Macaca mulatta: one gene and its partners. The protein of the gene in region 1 interacts with the protein of each later gene in a pairwise test. Links are inferred from orthologs where the notes say so. Each region holds a gene or a part of one and is shown in the gene's direction. Other genes may lie near its edges.

Evidence for each region.
Region 2: the proteins of RNF185 (region 1) and UBE2K interact in binary tests that used the Homo sapiens proteins (3 or more experiments, as listed by UniProt). The link is inferred for Macaca mulatta from reciprocal best matches to the Homo sapiens genes RNF185 and UBE2K.
Region 3: the proteins of RNF185 (region 1) and YIPF2 interact in binary tests that used the Homo sapiens proteins (3 or more experiments, as listed by UniProt). The two-hybrid records come from large-scale screens. The link is inferred for Macaca mulatta from reciprocal best matches to the Homo sapiens genes RNF185 and YIPF2.

Annotation. Positions count from the first base shown.
Region 1 is NC_133415.1:20,323,824-20,331,444, reverse strand, and holds part of RNF185 (E3 ubiquitin-protein ligase RNF185), read left to right. Parts: intron 1-1,889; coding exon of another isoform or gene 1,890-1,908; intron 1,909-3,906; coding exon 3,907-4,019; intron 4,020-5,368; coding exon 5,369-5,423; exon of another isoform or gene 5,424-5,588; intron 5,589-7,621. UniProt on the Homo sapiens protein: E3 ubiquitin-protein ligase that regulates selective mitochondrial autophagy by mediating 'Lys-63'-linked polyubiquitination of BNIP1.
Region 2 is NC_133410.1:38,989,320-38,996,395, forward strand, and holds the end of UBE2K (ubiquitin-conjugating enzyme E2 K), read left to right. Parts: coding exon 1-9; intron 10-3,081; coding exon 3,082-3,210; intron 3,211-3,759; coding exon 3,760-3,834; 3' UTR 3,835-4,470; downstream 4,471-7,076. UniProt on the Homo sapiens protein: Accepts ubiquitin from the E1 complex and catalyzes its covalent attachment to other proteins. In vitro, in the presence or in the absence of BRCA1-BARD1 E3 ubiquitin-protein ligase complex, catalyzes the synthesis of 'Lys-48'-linked polyubiquitin chains.
Region 3 is NC_133424.1:11,658,406-11,665,243, reverse strand, and holds the end of YIPF2 (protein YIPF2), read left to right. Parts: coding exon 1-10; intron 11-1,716; coding exon 1,717-1,804; intron 1,805-2,214; coding exon 2,215-2,331; intron 2,332-2,404; coding exon 2,405-2,571; intron 2,572-2,726; coding exon 2,727-2,909; intron 2,910-3,009; coding exon 3,010-3,126; 3' UTR 3,127-3,145; intron 3,146-3,242; coding exon of another isoform or gene 3,243-3,323; 3' UTR 3,324-4,232; downstream 4,233-6,838. Other genes in the region: histone-arginine methyltransferase CARM1, read right to left, coding at 4,663-4,805, 4,973-5,041, 5,289-5,366, 5,471-5,583, 5,672-5,761, 5,847-5,984, 6,427-6,516, 6,700-6,785.

The DNA of each region.
Region 1 (7,621 bases):
GGGTTTCACCATGTTGGCCAGGCTGGTCTCGAACTCCTGACTTCAAATAGTCTGCCCACCTTAGCTCTCAAAGTGCTGGGATTACAGGCGTGAGCCACCACACCTTGGCTCTATGTTAGGTATGTTTAAATACACAAATATTTACCACTCTGTTACAGTTGCCTATGACATTCACATGCTATTCAGGTTTGTAGCTTATTAGCAATAGGCTATACTATGTAGCCTAGGTGTGTAGTATGCTATTTCATCTAGGTTTGTGTAAGTACACTCTCTGATGCTGCTCACACAATGGTGAAATTGCCTAATGACACATATCTCAGAACTATCCCTGTCTTTCAGTGATACATGACTATCTTTGCTTAATAAATGGGAGGAATGGTTCTTATTATAAAGCCTGAACTCTCCCCTGAGGGTCATTCATTCACCTCCACTTCCCCCCTAAAGCCTTTAAGGGAACTTGCCACTGGAAATCTGCCATGATTTGGAGTGTTCTCCACTCAGTTTAGAATGACATTGCAATATTAATGTTGGAGTTAGATGTTATGTCCAGGAAGATTGTGTATTTGGTTTGCAAAGCTAAACTGTGGTTCAGGAATTGCAAAAGGAACTCTCCGTTGAGTTCAAAGTGTACTCAGCTAAAGATACTTGGTATCTGAGGTACAGAAGCTATGCCTGCATTTTCCACTGTCCTGGCACGTAGTAGGTACACAGTAGATATGTGTTGACTAAATAAATGAGAGAAAGAAATTTAAAATGTGGGCCGGATGCAGTGTCTTACGCCTTTAATCCTAGCACTTTGGGAGGCCGAGGCGGGTGGATCACCTGAGGTCAGGAGTTCGAGACCAGCCTGGCTAACATGGTGAAACCCTGTTTCTACTAAAAATACAAAAAATTAGCTGGGCATGGTGGCGCATGCCTGTAATCCCAGCTACTCAGGCGGCTGAGACAGGAGAATCCCTTGAACCTGGGAGGCAGAGGTTGCAGTGAGCTGAGTGAACTGCACTCCAGCTTGAGCAACAAGAGCGAAACTCCATCTCAAAAAAAAAAAAAAATGGAGTTGATTACTTTTCTTTCAATTCTGTAAATGTCATTTTTTTTTGTATGCAGTGTTAGATTATAGAAAGGGTGATGAACTAGAAGTCAGGAGACTTTTTTGTTTTTTTTAATCCTGATGCAGTTCATTTTATGTTTCTGAGCTTTGGTTTCCTCATTTGAAAATGGAGAGATTGGACAGCAGCTCTCTAAGCTGAAGGTAGCCCTTTCTGTCAATTGCATCCCCATCCTTCCTGTTACTTAAAGATGCTTTTAGAGTAGACCTGACCTTTTAAGCTGCTTCCTGCTAGGAGAGTTCTCAAAGATGAGGATAGCCTGAAGATTTTGTTAAACTGGATCTGGACTACCTGAGAATCCACACATCCCTTGTGAACCCGAGGAGACTATGAACCCACTGAAATTGAGTGTAAAATAGTATGTGGTACATGTGTATGTGAATGCTCCCGTCAATTTTTTTGCACAGGGCGTCCCTAGCTTTTATTGGATTCCTTCAGATGTTATAACCTCTCACAGGTTGATTTGTAGAGAAGCTGGGTCTATGTGGTCTGAGCCCTGGGGATTTCACATATGCTGAGATCTCAGGGGCAGAGACTGGGGTCTTATCTCCATTGTGTTATTTTTTTTTCTGTGATTTTTAGCCCAGTTTTTTCTAATTTCCAATACCAGTAATCCCTACAGAACCTCGGTGGGCATGCAGTGTTCCATAGTTTACTCCTGTTTTCTCATTCTGCTACTACCACTCCACCCATCAAGTGTTTCTGCTAATGAAAGCATTTTTCTTCCTTTCCCCTTTTCTCCTTCTCCTTGATGACTGGTTGCCCTGGGGACTCCGGCAGTTGGCCGTGTTTACATCAGGTAAGATGCATTTCATTTTACTTTGTCTTTCATCAGCTATGGTTGCACAAGACAGCCCTAGTCTCAGGAGACTACTGTCAGAAGCTGCAATCTGCCCTGCTTGTGGGCTCATTTGCTTACTTACCCCCAAAGCCTTCTTTACATACCTGCCCACTGACAGGCACTTGATGAAATCGGGATGGTCCTAATTCTGCCACAGATGGCCTTTGTGGGTCTCAGTTACTCGTTTATAAATTGGATTGGATTGATAGTATGTTAGTTAGGTCCTTTTTATTTTTGAGATTCTGCTTCTATTAAAACAGTACCTCCTATCATATCAACAGTCCCCCAGCCCTTAAAATTTATGAAAATATTAGGAAGGGGAAAACTTTTTTGGTGTCAACAAAGAGCTTTTGTGAGGAGAGAAAAGTCTATTTTCCCAGCTTTAGCACCTGCTAAAGCCTGGCATTCACAAGTGGCTGTGAATAATCACAGCCAGCTAAATGTCTCCCTGGTTGTCAGCAGTAGAGTACCACACTTGTAGGTGGCCTAGGAATGTAGGGGAGGACAGAAGTTCCAGACTGCTAAAGCTTCAGAATCTGGATGGGAGAAAGAAGGTGGGAACAGGGCTGCACATTCTGTCCCCAGCAGGACCTGGTAGAACATATTGACTGTGAGTTTATGAAGAACACATAACACATTAGTTTTGGAGCTATGAACAGCAAGAGTATGAAATAAAATCATTCAATGCTGCTATCTCCTCAGCCCTGAAGTAATTCATGTTTATAGAATGTCTATAAAAACACATTTTGGTGAGGTGTGGTGGCTCACGCCTGTAATTCCAGCACTTAGGGAGGCCAAGGCAGGTGGATCACTTGAGGCAAGGAGTTTGAGAATAGTCTGGCAAACATGGCAAAATCCCGTCTCTACAAAAAATACAAAAATTAGCCGGGCATGGTGGTGCACGCCTATAGTCCCAGCTACTAGGGAGGCTGAGGCATGAGAATTGCTTGAATCTGGGAGGCGGAGGTTGCAATGAGCTGAGATTGCGCCACTGCACTCCAGCCTGGGTGACAGAGTGAGACTGTTTCGAAAAAAAAAAAACATTTTTATCACTTGTTTTTTTAAGAAAATTAATTTTTTTTTGTTTTTTGTTTTTGAGACGGAGTCTTGCTCTGTTGCCCAGGCTGGAGTGCAATGGTGAGATCTTGGCGGGAACCTCTGCCTCCTGGGTTCAAGCGATTCTTTGTGCCTCAGCCTCCTGGGTAGCTGGGATTACAGGTGCATGCCACCACACCCAGCTAGTTTTTTTTGTCTTTTTGACAGGAAAATACAGTTGCTCCTACTGGGAAGGTGGGGATTTAAAGTTTGCTATACTTATACCAGCAGCCTAAATTGATGCTGGGTATGTCAGACTTGACAGCCCCAGGCTTGCAGTTTCCCTCCCCCGTGTTGCTAGGAGGCCCTAGAGAGAAACACAGTATGAAGAAGCTTTGTGATTTTTTTTTTTTTTTTTTTTTTTTTTTTGAGACAGAGTCTTGTCACCCAGGCTGGAATGCAGTGGTGCAATCTCGGCTCACTGCAACCTTCACCTCCCGGGTTCAAGTGATTCTCCTGCCTCAGCCTCCCGAGTAGCTGGAACTACAGGCATGCACCACCACGCCTGACTAATTTTTGTATTTTTAGTAGAGATGGGGCTTCACTATGTTGGCCAGGCTGCTCTTGAACTCCTGACCTCAGGTGGTCCACCCACCTCCGCCTCCCAAAGTGCTGGGATTACAGGCATGAGCCACCGCACCCAGCCAGTTATGATGATATTTAAAGGCAATTTTGATTTTATCACTGGTAAGTATTTGTTGAATGCTAGGAGAAGGAACGGGAGTCGGATTCCTTGAGGTGTTCCCTGCTCATGCTGGTGTTTCCCAGTTTGAGGCCTCTGGCCTATGTTGTTATGGCGGCTCTGGCTGATCACTCTGGTGGGTCTTGGGCCATTCATGCATTTTTCTCTCCTATTTGCAGTGGTTGGAGACCCGACCTAACAGACAGGTGTGTCCCGTTTGCAAAGCTGGCATCAGCCGAGACAAAGTCATCCCCCTCTATGGAAGGGGCAGCACTGGGCAACAGGACCCCAGGTGAGGACTTAGGATGCCTCTCCCACCCACTTTTCCCCTTGGACGTGAATTCATTCCCATTCAGCATCCCCTAACCCCACCCTTTACTTAGTACTAGATGATCCCTTGGTTTTGAAACAGTCTCATCCAGATGAGAGTCAGCTAGGAGGGGAGGGAAGAGAGGGGATCCAAGTTGCCGCTTGCTGGGACCCAGCAGTGGACAGACATCACAATCACAAGTGTACAGAGCACTGTGAAAGAGCACTTCTGCAGCCTGGGAAGCAGGCTATGTAGCAGGAGAGGCTCCAGGGAGTAGGGTTGCTGCATCAGAGACGTATGAAGCATCGGGGGAGAGGAAACAGGATCTGGGTGACTTTGTGGAGTTTGGGATTTCTAGAAATGGAGATGTGCATGGGTCCAGCGTTCCACAAACACAAGTACGAGAACCTTTCATGGTCTGGCATCCCCAAGCTTTCCCGAAGAATCTCTTACCTTCTCCTGCCTACCCTAGCATATGCTGTGTACCCAACATATTAGACTTCTCTTAAAGGGACTTGCTCTTTCACATTTATCAGCCTGTGTATTTGCTCTCTCTTCTGCCTTCTTCCCTCCCCAGTCCTGCTCGAGCTACCCCTCTACCCCCACCTTCTCCTCTAACTTCTACTCATCTCTTATGAGCAGCCCTAAAGTCCCCTCTTCCTTGAAGCGGTCTGTCTTCTCCACATTAGTTGCTCTCACCCAGTTCCCACCGCACTGTCATGTGATTGGCTCTATCCCCGTTGAAACCATGAACACCTCTTGCGTCTGTCATCAGTCTCAGTATTATAGCATCCTGCATAATGCTTATTGTGTAACTCAGCCCTCAATTGAGTATTCATGGGTTGAGTGATCAGAGGGGGTGAGGCTCAAAAATAATAGCATCGGGTATTTGCCCAAGAATAGTGTGAGATAGAACTGAAGTTAGTAGGGGAAGGTCAGAGAAACCATGAACCTCAGTCCTTAACTGCTGACAACCCACCCTCTGTTCCAGTATGGATTTGGAATTTCTGGTATCTGACAGGCCCAGGGAAGGCATCTGGCCATGATTCCTAACCAGTCCGAGTCAGGATCTCTGTAAGAGAAGGCTGTAGTGCAATCTGGTGAATATCTCGTAACAAGCTGATTTTCTCCCTGGTCCTCTATACAGGTGGGAAGAACAGTTGCAGGTAAAATGAAGAGTTAGTATTTGGAGAATTAATTTGACATAAGTTCATGTCCTGGGCAAGAAAGAGGCTATGGCCCTGACCCTGTTGGTGAAGAGCTCCAGGTCCTCACGGGGAGCAACTCAAAGCAATTTGTAATAGACTTATTTTACACCATTTCTGTTTCAGAGAGAAGACCCCTCCTCGTCCTCAAGGACAGAGGCCAGAGCCGGAGAATAGAGGGGTGAGGAACATTCTAGGAGAAGCTTCTACAAATGAGCTGATGGCTTTAGAAGTTTCCTTCTTAGCCTTACAATATTTCTCCTTGATTATAAAAGTACAGGAAAACTTGTAAAATACAGAAAGGAAAAGAGGGGGAAAAATCACTTATAACCACACCAATCCAGAGGTAACCACTGGAAACATTTTGGTTCTATTTTCTTTTCCATTTTTCTATAATTATATATACACACAAATTTTATAAATCTATGCGTGTATTTTATAGATGTGTGTATACGTTTTACAATTTTTTTGTTTTTTACAATACGTGGCTCCTGTTTTGTAACCCTCTCTTAAAATTTCATTTGTTCTGCAGATATTTAGTGCCTTCTTTGTGTGAGTGGGAGTCTTAGTATTATCTTGAGATTTTACATTACCAGCAATATTTTACTAACTAGCTGTTTAGCATTTAGTTGTGTGGATTTAACATAATTCAATCCTTTGTTAGACATTTAGCAGCTTTCTTTTTCCAATTTAAAAAATATCCTGATGAACTTACAGATAAATTTGTGAGCGTATTCACTGTTATTTTATTAGAATAAGACAGGGTCTCACTCTGTAGCCCAGGCTGGAGTGCAGTGGCGTGATCACGGTTCACTGTAGCCTCGACATCCTGGGCTCAAACAGTCTACCTCAACCTCCCATGTAGCTGGGACCACAGGTGCACGGCACCATGCCCAGCTAGTTTTTTGTTTGTTTGTTTGTTTGTTTGTTTGGTAGAAACAAGGTCTCACTATGTTGCCCAGGCTGGTCTCTAACTCCTGGGCTCAAGCAATCCTCCCATCTCAGCCTCCCAAAGTGTTAGGATTACAGGCGTGAACCACTGTGCCTAGCTTAGGATAAATTCTTAGAAGTAAAATTACTGGCTAAAAAAAAATTGCACATTTATCTCTAGTGGTCTAGTGGCTAGGAACAAAAACATTTTAAACTTTTTTGCATATTTACATCAAATGTTACTCTTAAAAAAAATTCTGGGCCGGGCGCGGTGGCTCAAGCCTGTAATCCCAGCACTTTGGGAGGCCGAGACGGGCGGATCACGAGGTCAGGAGATCGAGACCATCCTGGCTAACACGGTGAAACCCCATCTCTACTAAAAAATACAAAAAACTAGCCGGGTGAGGTGGTGGGAACCTATAGTCCCAGCTACTCGGGAGGCTGAGACAGGAGAATGGCGTGAACCCAGGAGGCAGAGCTTGCAGTGAGCTGAGATCCGGCCACTGCACTCCAACCTGGGCGACAGAGCGAGACTCCATCTCAAAAAGAAAAAAAAAATTCTGTTAAAATGTTAAAGAAATTTTAAAAGCAAAATATTTACCCGCATTGCCAAGAGCCCAGAACAAGTATATTCTCATTTCCTCATGTTCTCTTTATCTGTATGCTGTGCATATGTATTTTTATGTAGCCATCACCATTCTGTTTGCTTTAAAATTTAATTTTGGCAGGTTTTCCATGATGCTCTGAAGTGTCCTCTTTATTATTTAGGCTGCCATTTATCCCATTGAGTTTTTTATTTTTTTTTATTTTTCCATGCTATTACTGGGAACTCATTGAGTTTTGGTTCATTATAATTTGGGTTTTCCTCATCGAAGGACCTTTTAGTTGTTTCCCCATTTTGCTGTTTAAATAATAATGCTACAGTGACTATCTTTGTACACCTTTTTTTTTGAGATGGAGTTTCACTCTTGTTGCCCAGGCTGGAGTTTCATTGGTGCGATCTCGGCTCACCAAAACCTCTGCCTCCCGGGTTCAAACAGTTCTCCTCAGCCTCCAGAGTAGCTGGGATTACAGGCATGTGCCACCACACCTGGCTAATTTTTGTATTTTTAGTAGAAACAGGGTTTCTCTATGTTGGTCAGGCTGGTCTCCCAAGCTCAGATGATCTGCCCTCCTCGGCCTACCAAAGTGCTGGGATTACAAGTGTGAGCCACCGCGCACTGCCACTTTTTTCTTTTTTTCTTTTTTGAGTTTGAATAATGGCATTTTATTAGGATTTCCAGGAGTAGGATTATTGAGTCAGGGATCTTGATAGAAATTAAGGTTCTTGGCTGGGCACGGTGACTTATGCCTGTAATCCCAGCACTTTGGGAGGCCGAGGCAGGTGGATCACCTGAGGTCAGGAGTTCGAGACCAGCTTGACCAATATGGTGAAACCCTGTCTCTACT
Region 2 (7,076 bases), on another chromosome or scaffold:
GCAAATCAGGTAAGATGGCTGCTTTTGAAAGACTTCCTTACATTATGTGTGAGTCTTTAACCGCTTTAATGGTTTGCACATTAACACATGAGCATACTCTATTGAAACTAAATTTTGAAATGGTTTTCTTTCTTGTAGGATTATTTTGTCAGGTGTAATAGTGAAAACTTAATAGACTTTTAACATCTAGTTTAGTTGGATATAGATGCTATTTTCCTAACATGAGTATTTTCAAACACATAAAGTCAAAAGAATTACACAGTGAACACCCATATTCCTACCATCTAGATTCTAGGATTAATGCTGGTGTATGTATCCATCTTTTTATCCTTCTATTCAGGAAGGATGATCCCTCCTGCTAATAATTTTAATCACCTCCTATCATGGCACTGACATGGCATGGCACAGTCTCCAATGACCTGGTAATTTGTTGAATGGAATAAATATTTTTCATTTCACTTTCTAGCTACAGTGGCTGAGTTTAATAATTACATCAGAGACTGGACCTAAGTTATTAGTATCTGACCCATTAAGAAACAGTTTGCTGGCCAGGTGCGGTGGCTCATGCCTGTAATCCCAGCACTCTGGGAGGCCAAGGTGGGTGGATCACTTAAGGTCAGGAGTTCCAGACCAGCCTGACCAACAGGACCAATAGGTGGTGAAACCCTATCTCTACAAAAAACACAAAACTAGCCCGGCGTGGTGGGACGCACCTGTAGTCCCAGCTACCTGAAAGGCTGAAGTGGGAGAATTGCTTGAACCTGGGAGGCAGAGGTTGCAGTGAGCCGAGATCACGCCATTGCACTCCAGCCTGGGTGACAGAACGGAACCCTTTCTCAAAAAACAAAAAAGTTTGCCAATACCTACTTTAAGCAATTGGAATATAATGAACATTCTTTTTTTTTTTTTTTTAAACCTTAGTTTTTCTTCTCTTGACTTCTAAGATATTACCCACTTTTCTTCCTCACTTCATAGCTGTTCTTTGTTAGTTCCCACAATTATTTCCCTTCCTACTCGTCTTTCTTAAATGTAGTTCCTCAGTTCTGACCTTGTTACCTTTACTTTCTGTACACATTGACACTTGGATGATCGTATCTATACTGATGTTACCACCCGTACATTGATGAAATGTGTAGGCTTGCCCTCTCTCACGAGAGCCTGATGTTTAACTAAATTAGTAGGTGATGGTATCATAGAATGATAGGTTTGTAGGATTTATGATATTGCATTCAGTTTTGGCAGTAGTGTTACACTCAGGTATCTAAGGAACATTCATATGGTTAACCACCCAAGTCACAGCCTTTGGAGTTTTTCTCTGTCTCCTTTGCTCCTGTTGATAACCATTCCCTGTATCATTCTGTTACTATATTTACATAATTACTCTGATCATTTTTAAAAATTCTTTTCAACTGCTCTGATAGATCTTTTCTCAACCTCTTTCTTCCTTTCTCCGTCTTCTCCGTTGCTATCAGGTAGCTTTATAAAGTGCAAATCTTACTTCACTAACAAAAACTTGTTAGTAGCTCTACTGTCACCTACTTGAGTCCAAATTCTTTAGTTCATAGAGTTTTTCCATGATCTGAACTCTCTGCAAACCTAGCTTTATTTCCTAAATTCTTTTCTTCAAACTCATGCTTTTTCAAGCATTGCATTCGTTTTTACATATTGTATCCAATCTGCCATATTTCCTCTGCCTGAGGAAACTTCCTCTTGGCAAATTTCTTTAACCTATAAGATTTTAATTTATGTATTATCTTCTTTTCCCTTGAAGATCTGTTTACTCCTTGCTTTATGTATATATCCTTGTCAGTATATTCTGTTATTTGCCTCAGAGTACTTCCAATTCGGATTTTCCATGTTTTTTTATATATGTGCTATTTATTCATATTTGGTTGTTAAAAGCATGGCTTGTATTCCAGCTTTGCTTTCCTGTTGAATTCTAAGCCTTACAGGCTAAGGTTGGACTCAAGGGTTTCTTCTAGCTCCTAAGATAGTTCAATAATTTGACTTATTTTCTTGTGATGAATCAGTGGTAGAAAGTAGATTTATCATTTTAATATGTAATAGATTTAAATATATAAAGTACTTTTAAAAGAAATATTAAAGTGAATTGAAGCATTAGTAATTTATACTTTGCTTTACTAAGTAATGGTGGTTCCAAAGTATTTGATAAATTTACCTCTTTCCAATGCATATGGGAAGTCTTTTAATAAAATTACTCTATTGTGAGTTTATGATCATCTCAAGTTATGTAATAAATTAGGTCTTTGCATGTGGGTTTCCATAAATCACTGTACACTAATGCAGCTGTAAGAAAACAGAAGAATCTAGTTGTATTCTAGCCTGGGCTGTGGGTTATACAAAAGCTGGTCACATTGTAAAAAATTATTCTAATGTCGGCCGGGCACGGTGGCTCAAGCCTGTAATCCCAGCACTTTGGGAGGCCGAGACGGGCGGATCACGAGGTCCGGAGATCGAGACCATCCTGGCTAACACGGTGAAACCCCGTCTCTACTAAAAAATACAAAAAACTAGCCGGGCGAGGTGGCGGGTGCCTGTAGTCCCAGCTACTAGGGAGGCTGAGGCAGGAGAATGGCGTAAACCCGGGAGGCAGAGCTTGCAGCGAGCCGAGATCCGGCAACTGCACTCCAGCCTGGGCAACAGAGCAAGACTCCATCTCAAAAAAAAAAAAATTATGCTAATGTCCACATATTTTTATAAGCTAGTAATCTGTGTTCAGTTGTATAATGTTTGCTGCTTTACAGTGTTTGGAACATCTCTTAATACTTCACTTAATCTAATTTTAGTCTTTTGCTAGTTATATCTGTTGGATTTGGAGATTAAAGTAGATTAATGTTACTTGTCTTTATTATTGTCAACACAAATTGTGAGTGAAAGCTTCAGGTTAAGTGGTCTTTTCTCGAGTGACATAGGTTGTCTATAATGCAAAGTGAATCACATTTTAAGTGTAGATTTGTTTTATTTGGAAAAAGTAGGATTGTAGGCAATTAAGAGCTGAAATACCATATCAAATATTATAACTGTAATGTCATGTCAATCAATTTTTTCCCCCCCATATAGTACAAACAAAATCCCGAAATGTTCAAACAGACAGCTCGACTTTGGGCACATGTGTATGCTGGAGCACCAGTTTCTAGTCCAGAATACACCAAAAAAATAGAAAACCTATGTGCTATGGGCTTTGATAGGGTAAGTACATAAGGGCATGTTGATTTTGATATATTGATTGATTTTAAATTATTGCAAATTCTTGACTGACAAAAGTGGTTTAGAAAATTAAGAGAAATTCGCAGCCTGAGCAACATGGCAAAACGCATCTCTACAAAAATTAGCTGGACGTGATGGTGAGTGCCTGTAACCCAGCTACTCTGAAGGCTGAGGTGAGAGAATCCCTTGGACCCAGGAGGTCAGGAGGTCGAGGCTGCAGTGAGCGATAGTCATGCCACTGCACTCCAGCCTCGATGATAGAGCAAGACCCTGTCTCAAAAAAAAAAAAAAAAGGAAAATAAGAGAAAATCTAGTTTTGGTAAACATATTTTCTGTTTTCGAAATCAGTGATTTTTTTTAATTTTTACTGATCACTGTCATTGATTTTAGAAGCTTTTCATGCACTGCAAATGTAAATCAACTTACAGAAAAGAAACAAGGTGTTAATTCCCAATATAAAGAGTGAATGATTCAGTATTGTTTAAATGTTTCCTTGAGATTTAATTTCTTGTCCCCTTTTCTTCTCTACAGAATGCAGTAATAGTGGCCTTGTCTTCAAAATCATGGGATGTAGAGACTGCAACAGAATTGCTTCTGAGTAACTGAGGCATAGAGAGCTGCTGATATAGTCAAGCTTGCCTCTTCTTGAGGAGCACCAACATCTGTTATTTTTAGGATTCTGCATAGATTTCTTTTAAACTGGCATTCTTGCCTAATGATGTTATCTAGGCACCATTGGAGACTGAAAAAAAAAAAAAAAATCCCTGCTCTGTAAATAAAGCTAATTAAACGTCTGTGTAAATTTAAAAAGGGGAAATACTTTAATTTTTTTTTTCTTAATAGTGTAAAAATTCCTTGAGCTAAGCTAAAACCATGGAAGAAACATGCTACTTTAGTGTTTAGCAGTGTACCAAGACTAGCAAGAGTTTGCTTCAGGATTTTGTTGAATAATTAAGATAATACTTTGAGTGTGTCAGGGCCATTCAAATTGTTGGTGTTGCATCACAGCTACCTTAACTGTTTTTAACATGGATCCTCTGTGCCTGTGAATTTACTTGCATGCTTGTACTTGACTTCTTAGGATGGGTAGCTGAAAAGACCACCATTTTAAGCATTTGAGAATTCTTAAATATGAAATTTATTCAGAATTGAAGATGGTGACCTATTCAGAGCCTTTTTGTCCTTGTCAACAGACTGGGACATAGTGTCTGTTTCCCCCCTTCCCACCCCTTTCCCCACCCCCACCTTGCCACACAAGCTAATATTCTAATGGTAAATTTCTCTGTATTTGGTGGGGAAATGTGCTGAAGGACAGTATGTATCCCTTGCTTCATTTTTAGGTCGTAGGTTTGGAATGTTTTGTCCCAGTTCTTCAAACACTCTTAAATTTTTCCTAAGTAATGTAAAAATGGAACTGCCAATTTTATTTCTCTTGCAAAAATAGTAAATACTTGGTGTTACATTATTCCCAGGTTTAATGAAAGAACCCAACTTAGTTTTTCAGTGAGTTTGACACCTGTTTTTTAAACGATGAAATTTTTCTTTGAGAACTGGCAAGGATGCAGTCAGCTGTTTCCAGTAGTTTTTAGCCTGATTTTGGGGTCTATAGCGATTGCTTTATTGGATACTTCAAGTCATTCTTGCTTGCACTTCCCCTATTGACACATGAAAGCTGTGTTGGTGTTTTATTGTACATACTTCAGATGCACATAGGAATAGAAGTGTGTTATAAATCTAGCTTTCTTTATGATGTTTCTGATAATATGAGAATTGAAAACTTTACCTTCTCTTGTACATAGTCAGACTATTTGTATTAAATTTTCATTTCATTCTAAGTTCAAAAGTTTGAAAATTATTAGTTTTGCAAGATCAAACACTAATGTGACCATTTTATGAAGGTTGAAGTGGATTTATGCAGGCAGTTCTATATATAGAAATACAATTCTTTTTAAATTTTTAGGACCAATACAAAATAACAAAAATGTAATGGAATCAGACTGAATTAAAGTAAGGCTGTATATTGAAAGTAATATTATAAAAGGTTTGCTTTCTTTAAGTGTTATTTATCTTAAATTATAATCGTTAAGTGTTTGGAAGATAATTTTTGAATCATAACGTCAGCATAACTTCATTTGACTTCTCAATAATCTTGATACTAGAAGCAATAAAAGAACCATTATTAAATATATTGTAATGTTAAAGATGTGAAGGTTCTTCCAAAAATTTGTAAGGCTTTCCTAATTAACAGTAAACTCTTATAGTTGATATTATTGCATACTAAACACAAGTTGCTGTTTTTTCCCCATATGTTTGCTTAAGCATGTCTTTATACAACCACCTCCTTTTATTGTTGTAGTTTATTTTCTAAAGATGCCAAAGGAAACAAGATTTTTCTTTATTTATTTTAAATACCTGAAACCTTGTACTTTATATTTTGAAGTAAGGTGGGATTGTGTGAAAATGTGGATGGTTTTTCTCCATTATTGGTTAGAATTACTTTTTTTAAGTGGAGGGCAACTTGGTACTATTCGTAGAATTTGGGTTTAAAAATATCAGACACATCTACCCAGGTTTTTTTTGCCTGTATTATCAGGGTATATTTAATGTCCTGTGGTTAGACAAAGGTGAGAGAGCTCAGAGGTTTCTAAAGGTCAGGCATTACATACATACGTACATGCTCTTGGAGGCAGCTATATCCTGCTTTGATTTTTATGCACATGAGCCCTATAGGGTTATATACTCATCTGACTACACTTCAACATCCCCAGTGCCCAAGAAATTGGAAAGTACATTTGGTTTGAGACATCTTCATAAAAGATTCTTTATTATAAAAATTTACCTCATTTACATTTAATGTGATGATCTTTTTTTTGCTTTCTGGTATATTTCCCACTGTACTGTTTGCTTTTGTTATTCTCTTGTGTGTGGGTAGATTTAGTTACCCAAACATAGAAACTAAAGCAATTGCTTTTTTCCTCTGTTCTTAAATATGTTTGGAAAAAAAGACACTAAAAGATCAGGCCTAGGGGAAAAGTACCCTGGTGGAAATTATTTTTGTAATTCTTAATATTTTTGAGTTGGCTCCGTTTGTCAGTTTTAAAAGTCTCAAAAATTATGTTAAAAAAAAAAAATCCAGTGAAATCCCATTTAGGGCAGGCCGATTTGTTAGAAGTCATTGATACTCCAGTAGGCTTTTGTTGTAATCAGGCCTGTTTCCTGAGTATGTGCCTCTTTTAAAAGAAGAAATAATTAGCTGTATAGTATTTCAGTACTGATGAATGAATGAATGAATGAATGAATGAATGGCAGTTAGTGGACCCAAATAAGTATTCAGTGGTATATAAATATTTGAGGGACTAGGTACTGAATTAGATGCTCTGAGTTGGCACCCCGAAATGTTTAGAATTACAACTATGATTTACTTATATCCTTGTAACACGTTCAAGGATATATAAATGTTTGGATTTTGTATTTTGCTTTTGAAGAGAATAATCTATGAAATGAAAGAATGGGGTTTTTTTTCCATTTTTTAGAAGTTATACACATTTATGATTGTTGGTGGCACATAAAACTATGCAAAATAATTCTTTTTAAGTATCTGTAAGAAAGAATTGGCAGTTTAAACGGATTTTGCTTATTTATGCACTACAGAATGCAGCATACTGTATTACTGTTGAGGCTGCTTAATAAGTTTACCAATGTGAAAAGCAGATCTTGGGCATAAGTGTATGCCTGATTTGAGCTTTTAAAACTGTGCAGTAGGTGTATGGTAATGTTTTACAATCCTATGTAGCAAAATAGGAAATTATGAATTTTTGTTGTTGTTGTTTTAAAGATTTAAGATGGAT
Region 3 (6,838 bases), on another chromosome or scaffold:
CACCTCACAGGTCAGGCCTGGGGAGGCAGGTGAGGTGGGGCTCAGAGTTATGCTCAGGGTTCAGCCACACTTTCCCTGGGCAGGGTGCTGGTGATGGCGAGTGCGGGTGAAGGAACTGTGGTGCTCTCAAAGGGTTATGGTGGGACTGGTTATGGATCGGGACTGTAGGAACACAGGGGACACACACAATCTCGTGGGTTAGAGGAAGACCTCGTGGAGGACGTGAGGAATTGGCTGAAACCTAAAGGAGAAGGAACGCTTCCTGGGGAATGGGGGAGGGGAGCTGAAGTATGTTCCAGGCAAAGGGAACAGCATATGCAGAAGATCAAAGATGGGCTGGGGGCAGTAGCTCCCCGCCTGTAATTCCAGCACTTCGGGGGACTGAGGTGGGCAGATCACCTGAGCTCAGGAGTTCAAGACCAGCCTGGCTAACATGGTGAAACCCCATCTCTACTAAAAATACAACAAAATCAGCCAGGCTTGGTGTTGAGGCCCTGTAATCTCAGCTACTCTGGAGGCTGAGGCAGGAGAATCGCTTGAACCTGCGAGGCAGAGGTTGCAGTGAGCCGAGATCACGCCAGTGCACTCCAGCCTGGGCAAAAAGAGTGAGACTCTGTCTCAAAATAAATAAATAAATAAAATAAAAATACAAAAATTAGACCGGGCGTGGTGGCTCATACCTGTAATCCCAGCACTTTGAGAGGCCAAGGCAGGCAGATCACGAGGTCAAGAGATCGAGACCATCCTGGCTAACACGGTGAAACCCCGTCTCTACTAAAAATACAAACAAATTAGGGTGTGGGTGCAGGCGCCTGTAGTCCCAGCTACTTGGGAGGCTGAGGCAGGAGAATGGCGTGAACTCGGGAGGCGGAGCTTGCAGTGAGCCAAGATGGCGCCACTGCACTCCAGCCTGGGCGACAGAGTGAGACTCTGTCTCAAAAAACCAAACCAAAACAAAACAAAACAAAAATACTAAAATTAGCCAGGTGCAGTGGTTGGGCACCTGTAATCCTAGCACTTTGGGAGGCCGAAGTGGTGGATCACTTGAGGTCAGGAGTTGGAGACCAGCCTGGCCAACATGGTGAAACCCCATCTCTACTAAAAATACAAAAATTAGCCAGGCATGGTGGCGCATGGCCTGTAGTCCCAGCTACTCAGGAGGCTGAGGCATGAGAATCGCTTGAATCTGGGAGGCGGAGGTGGCAGTGAGCCAAGATCATGCCACCGCATTCCAGCTGGGAGGACAGAGTGACACTCCATCTCAAAAAGAAAAAGGGGGCTGGGGCTGGGCGCAGTGGCTCACGCCTGTAATCCCAGCACTTTGGGAGGCTGAGGTGGGCATATTACCTGAGGTCAGGAGTTTGAGACCAGCCTGGTCAACATGGCAAAACCCTGTCTCTACTAAAAATACAAAAATTAGTCGGGCGTGGTGGCACACGCCTGTAATTCCAGCTACCCAGGTGGCTGAGCCAGGAGAGTTGCTTGAGCCCAGGAGGCAGAGGTTGCAGTGAGCAGAGATCGTGTCACTGCACTCTATCCAGCCTGGCCGACAGAGTGAGACTCTGTCTAAAAAAAGAAAAAAAAAAGAGGGAAAGGCTGAGTTCTTTCAGGTGGGGCATGGAGACAGGAGGGTGGAGGTCAGCAGGGAAGGAGCCTCTCAGGACAAGGGAGAAGCTCCTGGCAGGCCTCCATCCTTGACCTCGGCCTTGCCCCCAGGTCCTGAACCGGATCAAAGGCTCACTGCTGCCCCGGCCTGGCCACAACTTTGTGCGGCACCATCTGCGGAATCGGCCAGATCTGTATGGTGAGTGAGGTACATTTGGTTCCTTGATGGATCACTCAACAAATGTGGCCTGAGTTGCAGACACCAGTGTACAGCTGAGGACAAATCAGTCACTCAGAGAGTGTGACTTACCTGCTGTTCAGGGAGACAGACATGAAGGACTGCAGAGGGTGGCGGGTAGAGAGCATATAGGAGGAGCGGCCTTGCTGTTTTGCAGGGTGCAGCAGGGCAGGCCTCCCTGAGCAGGGTGAGGGAATGAGCCTTGTTGGCAACGGGAGGGGTAGGGGAGACCTAGGAAAAGAGGGTTCCAGAAACAGCATAAGCTTCATGGCAGGAACTTGCATGAACTGCAGGGCGGCATTACCACTGGAGTAAATGAGCTGCAGGGAGATCACAGGTGGGGGGACTCTGACTGTGCCCCCCATCCTCAGGCCCCTTCTGGATCTGTGCCACGTTGGCCTTCGTCTTGGCTGTCACTGGCAACCTGACGCTAGTGCTGGCCCAGAGGAGAGACCCCTCCATCCACTACAGCCCCCAGTTCCACAAGGGTAAGCAGGCGGGCAGGACCGATGCCTGGCAGGGCCCCGGGGGGCAGGGGGTGACTGCTCACCTTGCCCCCAGTGACCGTGGCAGGCATCAGCATCTACTGCTACGCGTGGCTGGTGCCCCTGGCCCTGTGGGGTTTTCTGCGGTGGCGCAAGGGTGTCCGGGAGCGCATGGGGCCCTACACCTTCCTGGAGACCGTGTGCGTCTACGGCTACTCCCTCTTTGTCTTCATCCCCATGGTGGTGAGTGTGGCCTGGCGCGGAGTGGGTGGCGGCTGTGTGGGGACACTGGCATGGTCACCTGCTGCCTCACTCCCATGGTGGTGAGGGTGGCCTGGTGCGGAGTGGGTGGTGGCTGTGGGGACTGGCATGGTCACCTGCCGCCGTGTTGCTCCCAGGTCCTGTGGCTCATCCCTGTGCCTTGGCTGCAGTGGCTTTTTGGGGCACTGGCCCTGGGCCTGTCGGCCACCGGGCTGGTATTCACCCTCTGGCCTGTGGTCCGTGAGGACACTAGGCTGGTGGCCATGGTGCTGCTGTCTGCGGTTGTGCTGCTCCATGCACTCCTGGCCGTGGGCTGTAAGGTACAGGTCTGGGGTGGCCACAGGTGTACCTCAGGTGGGGCTGAGGGGCTGGGGGGGGGTGTGCGCTGGCCCTGCCTCTGACCCCAGGGGTCTTGTGCAGTTGTACTTCTTCCAGTCGCTGCCTCCGGAGAAGGTGGCTCCTCCACCCCAAATCACATCTCTGCCCTCAAACATCCCGCTGCCCCCTACCCTGCCTCAGTCCATGGCCCCCTCCTAGAAAGGCCCGGGTCCCACAGGTAAGGACTGTTTCCAGCTGGGCTAAGGGGGCTGCCCTCCCACCCCCAGTCAAGGTAAGAGGTTCTGGGGACACTCCCAGACAATTCTTTCTTTCAGGCAACACCTAAGTGGACCAACCCCTCTGCCTGTCCTGCCCCCCAGATGATGACTGAAGGCTCCCTTGACACCTTGAGATGACTCTGCTACTTTCCAGACTTTTCTTACAAAGCAAACACTTTTATTTTCTATGCAAAGGTGATTCAGAGAATTTATATAAAGGCGGGAGAGGGGCAGCCGAGCAGGGAGCTTTGGGACAGGGCTGGGGCTCCCATATCCCCCTGGGCCACCTGCTTTCCCTCCCATGGCTCCCCTGGAACAGGAGAGCGAGCCAAGGGGGCGCCCCAGCCTGGACAGCACCCGCTCCTGCCTGGGTGCACATATGGCGGGCCTGGGTCCGGGCCTGAGCTCCAGCATCTGAGTTTGGGGGTGTCAGAAACAGGGGAGCAGAAGGAGAAGAAAACTGCCTGTGCTGTAACACGTTTCCTTGTTTATTTTTTCTTTTTCTTTTTTTTTTTTCTGGAGGGAGAGGTCCCTGCAAGGTCCCTTCCCAGGCAGGGGAGGGACGGAAATGCCGTCACAGTAGTAGGGACTGGAGCGTCTACAAGGATGGAGGGGAGCTACTCAGGCCTAACATTAGCTACAAGGAAAAAGGACGCCTTCCGTGACAGATCTTTGAGGTGTCTGTGTCTGCCCCAAGTGGCCGGCAGTGGCCTTTCCTCCGGGCCCAAGGCCTGCAGCCACCTGCTCTAACTCTGGGTGGGGGGAGCTGGGGGGACTGCAGGGGCTCGGGGACAGGACAGCAGCAAGAGGCAGGGGCCGAGGACGGAGGCCTTCCCGACAGTGGGGTGGGTTGTACATTCAAGTGTGAGGTGAACCCTTTGGTGGGGAGGGGGCCCCTGAAGCCTCAGCGGGGCCACCCCTCCCTGCGGCGCCTCTTGAGTCTAGGGGGAGGGGCTGCTGGCTCGGCCCGGCCGGCCTGGCTTCACAGAGGGTCTGCGGATTGACACTGGTTCTTTTCGTAAAAAAATAAAATTAAAAAAAGCAGCATGTCACGTCCGTTGTGACCAAGGCCTGGTCGTCGAAGGGGAGGCCCCGCCTGGCCAGGCTACCTTCCCACTGGAGACAGGCAGGGGAACAGGTGCTAAGGGACCTGGCAGGCAGGGCTGGCAGGCCCCATGGCGCCTGTTCCAACAGATGACAATCCCAGGTCAGGGTGGAGCGGGCAGGAGGGGGACGAGGGCTCCCACGACATGATTTTGTGTAAAATATGGCAGCGACACACGCTCAGGGCTAGGAGGTGGGGGTTAGGGTGGGGATGGCGGCAACATCGTGTAAAAAAGTGTCCCAGTTCCCATAGCAAAGAGGGCTGTGACCGGGTGTTCGGGCTTCTCCAGTACAAGGGGGAAAGCCGCCCGGCGGGGGGGCGGGCGGGGACATCATTTGGTTTCCTGGTGCTGTCAGTCCGCGGGGCAGGCCCCTAGCTCCCGTAGTGCATGGTGTTGGTCGGGATGGACATGGGCGACGCCATGGAGATGGCAGGGCCGCCCATGGTGAACTGGCTGTTGACTGCATAGTGGGCACTGGTGCCGCCACCACCGCTGCCCTGGGCGCCGGAGGACCCTGTGGGGCAGGCGATGGCAGTGAGGGGCTGCCCTGGCCCACCCAGCCCCCAGGCAGAGTCACAGAGAGGAAGGGCAGGCAAGAGGGCAGGCGGGCGGCCGGACAGAGGATGGCGACTCACACGCTAGCTCGGCCCCCACGGGCCCTGCCCCCGCCACCCTCATTACCTTGGACAATCCCCGTGCTCATTATGGAGCCCATCCGGGAGTGGGTGTGATTGACAATCCCCGTGTTGGCTGCGCAGCAAGAGGGAGGAAAGAAGGAAGGGAGACGGCGTCACCGCCCCCAGCCACCCAGCCCATGCGCAGCAGCAGGCTGCAGAGCGAGGCAGAGAGGACGGAGGGCCTCGGCCGAGAGCCCCCTGGAAGAGGAAAAGGCGAAAGGACCAAGCACAGGCCGACCCTGGTTGCCACAGGCCCTTCCCGGCCTCTGGGCAGTCCTGGGCATGGCTCTCTGCTGACCCTGGCCCTGGGGGACACTCACCTAAAGGAATCAGGTTGTTGTGGCCCACGCTGGAGCCACTGGCAATAACACTGCTCAGGTCGTAGGCGGTCGGCATCCCTGTGCCCAGAGAGGGGAGACGTCAGGGCTGGAGGCAGAGGGGCCAGGCCTGCAGTGAGGGCGGCCTCCCGGGTTGGCTGGGCATTGGGGCGTGCCCTGCTCACCTGCCACGGCCATCCCGCTGCTGAGGTTGTAGGTGCTGCCTGTGTTCCACATGTTTTCCGAGGGAGATGTGTAGTGGGAGCCGGGTGGGGGTGAGGGTGTCGTGCCCGTGTATCTGTGGCAGAGACAGAGCCATGGGCAGGGGCAAGGGGGCTGCAGGGCCGGGGCGCCCCCACCCCGTGCAGGTAGGGTGCCCCTCCTACCTGAAGAAGGGGTTTTTTAGATCCAGGAGGTTACTGGACTTAGAGCCGGTCTGGTCCACCTGGGCCACAATACTGATGTCGTAGCTCTGTCTGTGGAGAGGGTGCAGGCCGCGGCGTGAGTGGCTGGGAAGATGGACCCCTGCCCCCCACCACCAGCCCCAGGGAGCAGTCACACCTCTTGTTGGCAATAAGCAGACATGTCCCTGAGAGCGTGTCCCCTGCCTTGGCGAACAGTGGTGACTGGAACAGGCACCGCACCTGGTACCAGTGAGTCAGGGGCTCTGTCGGGGCTGTGGACAGCCACACGGTCATTCTGTGGAGCAGGGACAGGCACACACTTGACTGGGCCAGCGCCATCACTGGAGCCACCACCTTGTATGCCTTGAGTCCTCCCCAAGCACCTGCCCCCTCTGCCAGGGACCCCCGGGACGGGCTGGCCCCCAGGCATTCCCAGACACATACATGAGCAGGCATACATGTACACACGAGGGACCTGCAGCCACGAGATCCCTGCTCACCCTGACATGTGCCAAGAGACAGACACAGGCCCATGAGGGACAGACACTGGGAACACAGGACACACAGGACACACACACACCCCACCCACAACAGTCTCTTGCTCTGAGACAGGCTCTCACTCCCATTGGAAGGGATGGTGGAACCTGGAGCCACGTTCCACCCTCCCAGTCAGGTTGCAGCTGCAGGAAGCCCTGGGAGTGGGGAGGAGGCAGCACAGGCTGCTCTGCGGCACTCACATGGAGCCGATGAAAGCAACGTCAAACCAGAAAGCCAGGCCATGGACCAGCCCTGAATGCAGCATGTGGAATTTGAATGGGATTTCTATCCTGGAAGGCAAAGGGCAGTGGCTGCTGGGGAAGCCAGACAGGCGCTGCCAAGAGAGAAGAGGGGGTGCCAGGTGCAGAGGCCCGGGGCCCCCGCCCACCACCTGCCCTGGGACGGCAGGATGTCAGTGGCCCTGACCTTCGGCCTGAGGCAGGCCTGGGAGGATGGAGTGTGGGTGCCGGTACCTGTGCAAATCTCCTTCTTTGGCTTCTAAGAAGTTCACCGTGTACTTGACAGACTTGGCCATCAGGATCCGGATGTCAAATGTGTCCTGGGAGAGACAACAGGTGTGACCTGGCATCTGGTGCCAAGGCCGACATGGAA